Caenorhabditis elegans: one gene and its partners. The protein of the gene in region 1 purifies or fractionates together with the protein of each later gene. This does not show direct contact. Each region holds a gene or a part of one and is shown in the gene's direction. Other genes may lie near its edges.

Region 1 (3,780 bases):
GTTTTCATATGAGCTATCATACACTATCTGATAAAGTCACAGTAAATTTTTAAAAATAATTTGCCTGAAAACCCAAATTTTCGATGATTCCAGAAATTTGACCCATTAGAATGGCCCATGATTATTTCTTAACTATGTCTTTGTCGACAATAATCCACATGGAGAATTGCAACTCTTAACACCAAAACTATCTCAAATTTATGCAAAAGAATTTGTTTAGGACTTCTCCGCAACCAAAAAAAAAACAGCGCCATGCCTGTATACTAGTATATAAGCATTTTTATGAATACACGGCTACCGAATATTGAAATAGTAATGTAAAACTAAAAGTCACACAATTTTTTTAAATGCGCATTGAAGAAAATTGTTAATATCTGGTATAAGTCCCTTTTTTACTGGAATTTTGAAATTTTTCCAAGCCCCATTATTGTTTTTTCACCTTAAACTCATTTTCCTGTGAGTTGTTTTTTTCCTCACAGAAATCAATTTCGCAATACCACCATATCTCTCCGTTGACCACTTATCGGTGACTAACAGCTGACCGGATGATCAGCTGAAGTATTTTTTGCGCCTTGTTCATATATTCCTGAAAGAGAAGGCCATGTGCAAATATTTTGTCTTTTTATGCGCACAACTGTACGAAAAAGGCGTTGAAGCGCAAGTGGCTTTTGTTTTTCCATTTCCCGAGTTTTTCCACTCTTCAACCTTGCATCTTCATTCTACTTCTAACTGCACTTGAAAACATCATACCCTTGTTTTGTTTTCAATAATATATTTCAATATTCTAAGAGCAGCCCCACACCTGTTCTTGTCAAATAGCGTATATAAGTCGAGCTTCTGACCCAAGCTGCCCTAACCAATTAGATGCTTCACGCGGTAGGTGCGCGTATTCTATTCTATATGTGAACCCTGTTTGGGAAACACAATTGTAAACATAATTTATAATGACGAAAACTGCGGGCTACCTGTCTACAAGTATACTCAAATTTAGTGTACTCAAATTTAGTATAGAATTTGTATTTTCGAACTTCTTGCAATAGTTTTTCTCCTAAACACCCGCCAAGCACATAATTGCCATGCCAAGTCTGTGCCGAGTTTTCCCATCTAAATTTTTTTCTTTCAAATGTCTGTGTACGCACGCGTTCCACCTTTCCTCACACTACAAAAACTGTGAATCAAATTGAAGTAGGTCATTTGGAAGAGCGAGAGAAGAAGGGTGAAAGAAAATATGAATACACTTGGAAACGTACAATTCTTTTTCCTCTCAATCGTTTCACTTTCCTTTCATTTTTACAGTTTCACTTCTTCATTCTCAAAATTCTCGAACAAAAAGTTCTCATGGAATCGATGGGAAGAAGTGTAGAATGAATGTTTGTTGACATTAAATGCCCTTTTCAATTTTCCGTATTGATTCAATTCAGTAGTCACTCTTCGATTTCAAAGCCATGACGATATTTTATTTCACCATCACAAATAGGAAAAAAAAACAACAAATAAATCACGTGTTGAATAAAAATTTATCGCTGTTCCCCCATCTACCCTTTTCCAACATGACAATATCGAAACGTGCACATACCAATACCCTTATACATATACAATCGTTTCAAATTGTTTATGATAGACTCTTTCTTTCTTTCTTTAGTCAAATAAACAAAATCCCCTCTTCACATCTTATTCTTCATGTCATTTTGTCCTCAAAATCCTGTCCATTGCCCAATTTTTTCCCGTCCGTTTGAAAATAAAAGCAGCAGCAGCAGACCCAGTGATGAGTCAGTCAGTGCGACAAGAAAAAAAGTATTAGTCACAGGAAACACTATTATTGTGCCGACAACCCTCCTCTCTCATATATAGGCAAACGCAAGCATTTTCAATCGTAACCCACAGATAATTCTTTTGATTCTTCATTGACTACCGTCATTTCTTTTTTTTGCCATTCCCACTTTGCCTCTTAAAATGTTTTAGACAATAATTGCTCTACTATATCTTGCAGACACTTTCCTCCAAAACTCGCAATGGCTGCCGTCACCGAACTTCCAAAGATGAACCAAGAGCTCGCTGGAGCTGTCCGAGAGGGATTGGAGCTCAAAAAAGTTGAAACCACCGAGAAGAATGTTTTGCCGACCAAGGAAGGTTAGTTGTGTTTGTATGATTTTTTGGTATTGAATAGGAAATTAATATGGAATTCATAGAGTATCGATAGAGTTTTCAATTCCAATACAGTTTCAATCATTAGTTCATCAACTTTACATATCAAAACTGACGAGAAAAAATCATGTGTTTTCGATGTTCGGAGTCATTATCACTTTCAAATGAAATGATCAGTTGTTCAAACAATAACTGATAACTATTTCAAAATATAAAAATTACATGAGTTCACAAACAGGAAATGTTATGATTTTGATCAGTTCAAACTTTTGTTATTCAAAAGTTTTAACATTTCAGATGTCGCCGAGGAGAAGCAACATGTCGAGCGCATTCACGAGATTGAACATTTCGACTCTACCAAGCTCCACTCTACCCCAGTGAAGGAGAAGATTGTGCTTCCATCGGCTGACGATATCAAGCAGGAGAAGCAACACTTGGAGCTCACCGACAAGATCAACAACTTTCCATCTGAGAACTTGAAAAAAACAGAGACCATTGAGAAGGTAGCTCACAATTTTCACAAGTTTTCATTTAAAACAAAACATTATAGAAACAAAGCAATTTGTGTTTGTATTTCAGAACGTCCTTCCTTCTCCAACCGATGTTGCTCGCGAGAAGACTCTTCAAATGGCTGCTTCTTTTGACAAGAGTGCTCTTCACCACGTCGAAACCATTGTCTCCACCGATGTCCGCGTCACTGAAGCTCAATAATTTATGAAAAAGGTTTTTTTTTCTATTTAATATCAAACTTCCAATGTTTCTATATATCTAAAAATTCAATCTGAATTACTAGGTCATGATGTGGAATTCGCAAATTGAAACGACGGAGATGTTAATCTATATTCTTATTTTCCAGAGTCCCTCCTTCTTCAACCTCAATTCGGTACGCCTTCATATTATCGTTAGTGAAAAATCCGGACTCTCACATTTAAATGCGTTTTCTTTGTTTTCTGGTTCGAGTTTTATCGATTTTAACATTTTACCCTGACAAACATGTATTTTCATCAATTCTTACGTTTCATTACATAATATTTGATGTATCGATTTTTTACCATTCCATATTTATTCCCCACTTGAAAATGAACATATTTTATTACAGTTTTTTTTTGTTTTAAATGAAACAATTTCAGGAAAGTTAGTATTTTAATATTAATAGTAATTAAATTAATAACTATGAGTATACTTTTAATTGAGTGTGAAATAACGATTGTTGTTCTTAAAAATTTTACAAAATCTACATTGAAAATTGATATTAAAACACCAAAAAAAAACTATTTTCCAATAAAAATGGGTTGAAATATTAAAGGGAGGCCGTAAATCCACACTCCGTCGTCATATCGTTGCGAGACCCACCGCCGAAAGAGTGTACACACTGTAGAGACGCGAGAGAGGTCGGCTGCCTCGTCAGTTTTGCGTGGCATTTCGATTTATGCAAAGAGACCCTTATTGTCTCGTTCCATCGCGTTTTCTCTTTCATTTTGCATGTTTTTCACGGAACTTTTTGTTGATATCAATTTTCAGGTAATGCCCAAAACGACGAGGATGCTCACAAAACTACTTTTGGTTTCGTTTCTTGCCAGTGCCAGTGCTTTCTACCTTCCTGGCCTGGCACCAGTGAACTTTTGTGAAGTGGAA
Region 2 (3,757 bases), on another chromosome or scaffold:
TTTTAATATAATGGTATTGCTTCATCAAAATTTATTTTTCAGAACTACCATACGCTATTTGATGGATATTTTCACGTCATTTGTTGCCATTAACGCCACCGTTCATTTCTTAATTTGCCTCGGCGTAAACGCTCATTATCGAGACACTGTTAAAGAGCTATTCCGCTGGAAATTTGAAAAATTGAGGAAAACTTCAGATGACTCAACTATGAATTCTCAGAGTGTTGGCCAACCTAGAATTGTCGCTTGATCAATTTTTTTTCAAATTTTTCTACTTTCCAATTTTTATTTTGAACCCCGTGTCCTCTTATTATTTTTGAAATTTAATTCCGCATCCCATCAAGATTACCCTCCGACCAGAACCTCGTCAGACCCCCACCCACACCAGCGCACGTGATAATTAATCATAGTATACCTATACTTGTTGACTATATCCCCCTTAATTCCCATGAGAAGCATCTCATGTGTCTTAATTGAGGGGTACACAGCGAGTTGTAAAGAGGTTGTCCTTAACAACCAAATTTCTGAATCTTTTGCAAACTCATTGCTTTGAATTTCACAACTAAAATGAACCCCGATGCTCCGAGTGTCGAGGAGAAGCTCACCGTCGATGAGTGCTACGTTATTTCCAAGGTGAGCTGAGATTTATGCTAACAAAAAAGCTCGAGTGTTTTTCTTATTTTCAGGAAGATTGGTTTGAGCCAATTTTCTGTAAGCCGAAGCTTATCCCGTTGAAGACTGTGAAAATGCGAGAGATCGAGAAACGACGCAATGAAAACATGGAGAGGGTCAAGGCGATAGAGGTGAGTTTTTTTTTGAGAAACATATAATTTACTTATTTACATTCTTTTTTCAGACAGCTTCAACGTCAGAACAAAAGAACCCAGAGGTGGTACCCAAGGAGCCAAAACCAGAAAAGCCTCGGAACCCGGAAGAGCTCAAGAAACAGAATGAGTTGAACAAGATCGATTTGTGGATCGCCGACGAAGATCCGGCACGTCGCAAGTGACTATTGTCTACTTGTAAACAATAATCCTAACAATCCTATTTTTAACTCCAAACTTTTCGCGATTTCAATTTTCAAAAAACATTCCAGACAACCTCTAAACCTACATGATCATCCTAGTACTTCTTGGCCCAAGCGCTATGTCCAAAAAGTCAGGTCTACCCTATGTACTGCCGTGTAGTCAAACAAGCTTCACCATCATGCCATTCACCTTCTTCCCATCATTTCTCCTGCCCTCTTATCTCTAAAAATTGTGATTTCTGATTATTTCAATAAATAATAAATATGTTTTGCGTTGAAATTCTGGTCATTGAGATTTTTTAGGTGGTCTGTAATCATGGGCTCTTAAAACTTTGATACACCTGAGCTTAGGCCAAAGCTAATCCTTAAAAAAAAGCTAAGCCTAAACGCTAAACCGAAGCTATTGGGATTATTCATGTGATGCCAAAAAATGCACAAATGATTTTTATACAGTTTTACCCTATCCCTAAAAACGAAGGCATTTTTTTTAATTTTTCAACATTTTTCGACATTTATCTACATCGGCCGACAGCCCGCTTCACATGAAAAATGTAGAAAAATGTAGAAAAATGCAAAAAAAGCATGTGTTTTTTTTACATTTTTCTACACACATGAATAGATAGGGGAAAAATGTAAAAAATACATTTTTGCATTTATCGTCATCTCATGAATAACCCTATAAAGCCTAAGCCTGGGCCATAGTTTTTCTGGAAAATATCAGACATTAATCTCTATTTGCCACATGGATTCCAGCAAGTTTCCACGTTAAAATCTTCGCGAGCCGTCATATCACTAAAATTCCTTATCTACATAGTGTTCTTGACACATCATTAAATTAGTTGCTCGCGGAGCAACAACTGCAAAAACGGTCTTCGTTCGGAACACGTAAGCATGCAAACACGCGCTGGAAGAGCAAAGTGCATGCGGTCACAAACATTTTTTCTCGGTATAAAATGCCAAGCGGGGTGCCACATTTCGGCATAGGCATCAATTTTCACTGCTGCTGCTGCTGAATCAACACTAAAAATGGCCGAGAAACGTGAGTTTTTGGATGTATGCTTATTTTTTCAAGAATTCATGTTTTTTGTTCAATTTGAAAAAAATTTAACAATAAGACCGAAAATGGCGAAAAATTGAAATTTTCAATTTTTGTTGATTTTTCGGCAGAAAAAAGTATGTAATTCTTTAGCAAGTTATTGTTTTGATTTTTTACATGTAATTGTACAATAACCTCATATTCCAGATATTATAGGATACAACACCAAAAAATGATTTAATTTTTTACATTTTTAGATGTCAGGCTGTCCCATTTTGGTGAGATCTACAAAAAAAGCGGGAATTTAGACGCAGACTTCTCAACTGATTTTACATGGTTAAGAACATGCTGACACGTCACATATTTTTGGAAAAAAATTCCCGCATTTTCTGTAGATCAAACAGTAATGGGCAGTCTGACACCACACGCTTCCAATAAAAAAAGTTTATTAAAAATATCGGAAACTACCCGAACATACAACCAACTTGAAAAGTACAGCACACACGTGGTGTCAGGCTGTCCCATTACGGTTTGATCTACAAAAAATGCGGGATTTTTTAACCCAAACAAATGTGACGTCAGCACGTTCTTAACCATGCAAAATCAGTTAAGAAGTCTGCATCTCAATTCCCGCCATTTTCGAAGATCTAAGTAGATCAAACCACGCAAATTACCTAATAAAAATCCAAAAATTGAAAATTTTCGGATTTTTTGTAGGTCTCCTAATACCCTACTAATATGTAAAAAAAATTTCAGTCGCAAAAGCCAAGGAGGAGATGACAGCCGCCGGTCTCTCGCCAGAATCCATCGAGGGAATTCTCAAAATCGCCGCCACTTACAAGAAGAAGGACGATGAGCCAGAACGTGATGCTGCCACTTCTTTGGCAATTATCACAAAAATGATCGGAGAGACCAATGAGTATATTAAGGGACAATCGGAAGCCGATCAGAAGATCTACGCTGTCATTATTGAGAAGAAGAAGGCCGAGCTTATCGAGGCCGCCAAGAAGCAATAGATTTTCTTTTTGTTTTGAAATTTTATTCTATTATGAGCTTGTAATAAAATAATTTTTGTAATTTTAAACTTGTAATGGTCACATACTTTTGGGAAAAAAATTCCCGCATTTTCTGTAGATCAAACAGTAATGACACCACGTATTTCTAATGAAAAAGTTCCTTTAAAATTTCGGAAACTGCCCGAACCTACTTGACCTACTTGAAAAGTAATGTACATACATGGTGGCTGTCCCATTACGGTTTGATCTACAAAAAATGCGGGATTTTTTTGCCCAAAAAGTGCACGCTTTTATCCATGCGAAGTCAATTGAGAAATCTGCATCTCAATTCCCGCATTTTTCGAAGATCGAAGTAGATCGAACCACGCAAATTTAATTCAATTATGAGCTTGTAATAAATAATTTTTTTGTAATTTTGAACTTGTAATGGTCTTTCCAAGTGATTTTTCATGGAAAATATATTCTTGTAAATTTTTTAAAAATCTCTATTTTTTCTTATAAAATCAGCTTTTTTTTCGATAAATTTTTGTGACAAAAATTGATTTTTTAAGATTAATTTTTCGATTAAAACCCTGAAAATTTTAAATTTTTTTTCGAATTTTTTCGATTCGATTTTTTCCCAGACAGTTTTTCGAATTTAAACAAAAAATTCATAAATTTCTATTTTTTTCTACATAA
Region 3 (2,966 bases), on another chromosome or scaffold:
GACGGCAAGTGTTCAAAAATCATACAATTTACGGAATGTTCGTATGGTTTCAAATTCATCGAGCCTCAACTTTTATTGGTGTTTGTTGTATTGTAACCTCGATTTTGTGCATTTTAATTTCAACAAATTGGACCTGGAAAGGTACTGGATCTGAAGCATGGTACTGGACACAATGGCACACGGATTTTGGAACGATTTCTACTATTCTGGCATTCTCCCAGCCGTTGAATAGTTTGTTGAGGTAGATTTATTTTTGTAAAAAAATAGCAAAATTTTATACTTTTTATTTATTCCAGATGCCCACCTTCCAACTCACAACGTTCAATTTTTAATTGGGCTCATCGAATTGTTGGCCTTCTCTCCTACACTTTTGCTGGTAAGTTTCCATGACTAGAATTCAAACTTTTTATACAAATTAAGTGGCCGCAATCTACGTGGCTGCCGCCAATTATCGAAAGACATGGTCAGAGCCAACAATGGAAATTGTGCTGACCAGTGTGCCGACCATTTTGTGTATCGCCACAGGATTCGTAGTTTTGTATTTGGAAAGCGAGCAGAGAAATGGGTATAGGGAAGTTGAAATGGTAAGATTTTTCAATTTGCATTTAAAGTTCTAAAGTTGGAATATCCTATGCAATAAGAACATTTCTACGAAGATCATACCATATCATGTTGCGAATCACATGAACCAGCAGTCCGTATGTAGTTTACTCCTACGGGCAATATAGGCCAAATCACTGGAGATTAAATGATTAATTTATTTTTATTTCAATTATTGGCAACAAAAATTGATAATTTAGTATTAAAGAAGTGTGGAAAAGGGGGAAAAGTTTCTAAAAAAGTTAGTGATCCAAAACATAATATCTCATTTGTAAAACTAATAGTTTCGGTAAACAGTGAGAAAAATGAGTTTAAAAATGTTTTAAACTTGAATTCCCGCGCACAAGAAGTTTGAATATTTTTTGAGAATTTTTTTCTTAATTTTCAGAATTTTGTTGAATGTTCAAAGCACCTGAATTGCAATTTTTTGCATCAAATTTGAGAAAAAAAACTAGAATTTTTAAGGTAAAAAGAACATGTTTTATTAAAATTTTCAAGCAAAAAATTCTACAAAAATTAAGACTAACTTTAACGTCACAAATTTTTCAATTCAACATTTGTAACACAAAAAAATGTTCCACAAAAGACACAACTTACAGATCGAAAAATCCGAAAAAAATTCCAAAAAACCGGAGCGTCTTCAACTTATCCAAATCTCATGGATGTTCGCCGTTGTTGGAATCTGCTTCGGTGTCGCCATTTCATTATCTCTTCTGATTGCAAATGGATTCAAAAATGACTAATCACCTCTTTTTCAATGACAACTAATTCTCGTACCAACCACTTTTCTCTTTCTGACCTGACCTGCAATAATCCATTAAACGGCTGTGTGTGTCCTCTTTCTCACTTTATCACCAACTATCTCTTCTAGAAAATAAATATATATTTTCTATATGTTTCTTCTTATAACAGAGTCTATACATTATTACATGCAATTCATCTTTCGCAACATTGACCGGCCTCAAAAAATCCGATAAAAGTACAATGGTGACTGGTGTTCTAGGAAATAGGATTGTTATGATAGGGAGTGATATCTTATCTCTTTTATTATCACAGCCTGACCTCAATATGTCAGAGGTGGAGTCTTCCGGGTGACCCTTTAAATAGTCCGGGCCTTGACACCGATAGGCTGTGTATTCTTCATTTCTTCGATCTTCCACCTGTTGCAGTTTTCTTTTATTTTTCAAAGTTAACATATCTATATTCATAGTAATTAATTCTAGAATGAACCGCTTCGCAATTCTCCTGGCTCTCCCACTTCTTGCTCTTGCTGCTACTCCAAATGAGAAGCTGAAGCTATGCTGTGCCACGTTGAAGGATGCCGATAAGGAGTGCGTCGATCGATTCTGTGACTTCAATGCTCTTTCTCAAGCTAACGTAAGTTGTCTCCTGAGAGCTAGTTGCGCGTCAATTCTGATGTATTTAGTCAGCTTACTAGAAATAACCATTACACGTTCTTATTTCAGATTCTGAACTTCATGTCGACTTGCGGAGAGCGTGGACCAACTGTCGGAGAAATGTGGGATTGTGCTTCCCTCCGTCACAACCACGAGGACTGCTGCAAGAAGGCCGGTGTCTCTGGAGAATGCCTCAAGTACTGTACCGCTCATAAGGGAGCTCCATCCAACTATTTGGACTATGCTTTCTGTACCGAGAACTTCAACGAGATCCGTGATTGCTTCTACAACCATTTGGACAAGAACGAGCCATTCAAGAAGCTCTAAATGGAAATATAATAATTGAAATTTTCTTTATATTATGAAACGTGTATTTAATAATATGGAATAAAGATCAACTTGATGATAAAGTTAACAGTTTTCCAAGCTATTTTGTCTTTTGATTGGCTTGTCCGGAGTTCTGGAATTGCCAGTTCAAAGGCACATGATGTTTTTCCAAGTGGGTCTCGCCACGATCTCAGACATAATTGTCGTTACAGGGCCCAGTTTTCCAGGTGAAATAGAAAATATAGTTTATGAAATTTCAAACTCAAAATTTCCGGTAGAAAGCCCGGATTTAGGACCTAGTTCCATGTTTCCGCAATGTCCTACAAAATTCCCCCATTTTCCAAAACTACAGTAATCATACAGTACTCAATCACTACTTTACCCAAGCTACAGCAACTAACAACATAACTTTCCCAAGTTTCACGTCTCGCCTTCTTTCTCGTATTGTTTTGTTTTGACAATTTGAAGGAAAAAGCTGTTGAGTCGAGTGTTTGTCGGGGCGGCTCACACTGTAGTACAATAAGGCTTCACATGCGCCTACATAGGTAATCGCGTGCACTTAAAACGGAAAGTTGCTCACGGAGAATAAGAGAGATAGAGGCTCGGCTGTTTGTGTTTGATCTACATCTATGAACCTCAAGA

The links.
Region 2: the proteins of tth-1 (region 1) and dct-16 fractionate together in Caenorhabditis elegans (co-fractionation; one large-scale study listed by BioGRID). This does not show direct contact.
Region 3: the proteins of tth-1 (region 1) and dbd-2 fractionate together in Caenorhabditis elegans (co-fractionation; one large-scale study listed by BioGRID). This does not show direct contact.

Annotation. Positions count from the first base shown.
Region 1 is NC_003284.9:8,421,942-8,425,721, reverse strand, and holds tth-1 (Thymosin beta), read left to right. Parts: upstream 1-1,990; 5' UTR 1,991-2,012; coding exon 2,013-2,130; intron 2,131-2,442; coding exon 2,443-2,648; intron 2,649-2,724; coding exon 2,725-2,856; 3' UTR 2,857-2,868; intron 2,869-3,001; 3' UTR 3,002-3,242; downstream 3,243-3,780. Other genes in the region: tag-123 (Transmembrane 9 superfamily member), read left to right, coding at 3,670-3,780. UniProt on the Caenorhabditis elegans protein: Plays an important role in the organization of the cytoskeleton by regulating actin polymerization in two ways. Firstly, by binding to and sequestering actin monomers (G actin) inhibits actin polymerization.
Region 2 is NC_003283.11:20,497,305-20,501,061, reverse strand, and holds dct-16 (DAF-16/FOXO Controlled, germline Tumor affecting), read left to right. Parts: upstream 1-2,004; 5' UTR 2,005-2,053; coding exon 2,054-2,066; intron 2,067-2,819; coding exon 2,820-3,079; 3' UTR 3,080-3,138; downstream 3,139-3,757. Other genes in the region: dct-14 (DAF-16/FOXO Controlled, germline Tumor affecting), read left to right, coding at 568-633, 687-803, 857-1,009.
Region 3 is NC_003280.10:4,561,127-4,564,092, forward strand, and holds dbd-2 (DB domain-containing protein), read left to right. Parts: upstream 1-1,823; 5' UTR 1,824-1,824; coding exon 1,825-1,977; intron 1,978-2,066; coding exon 2,067-2,324; 3' UTR 2,325-2,334; downstream 2,335-2,966. Other genes in the region: M03A1.8 (ascorbate ferrireductase (transmembrane)), read left to right, coding at 1-241, 297-376, 421-584, 1,200-1,343.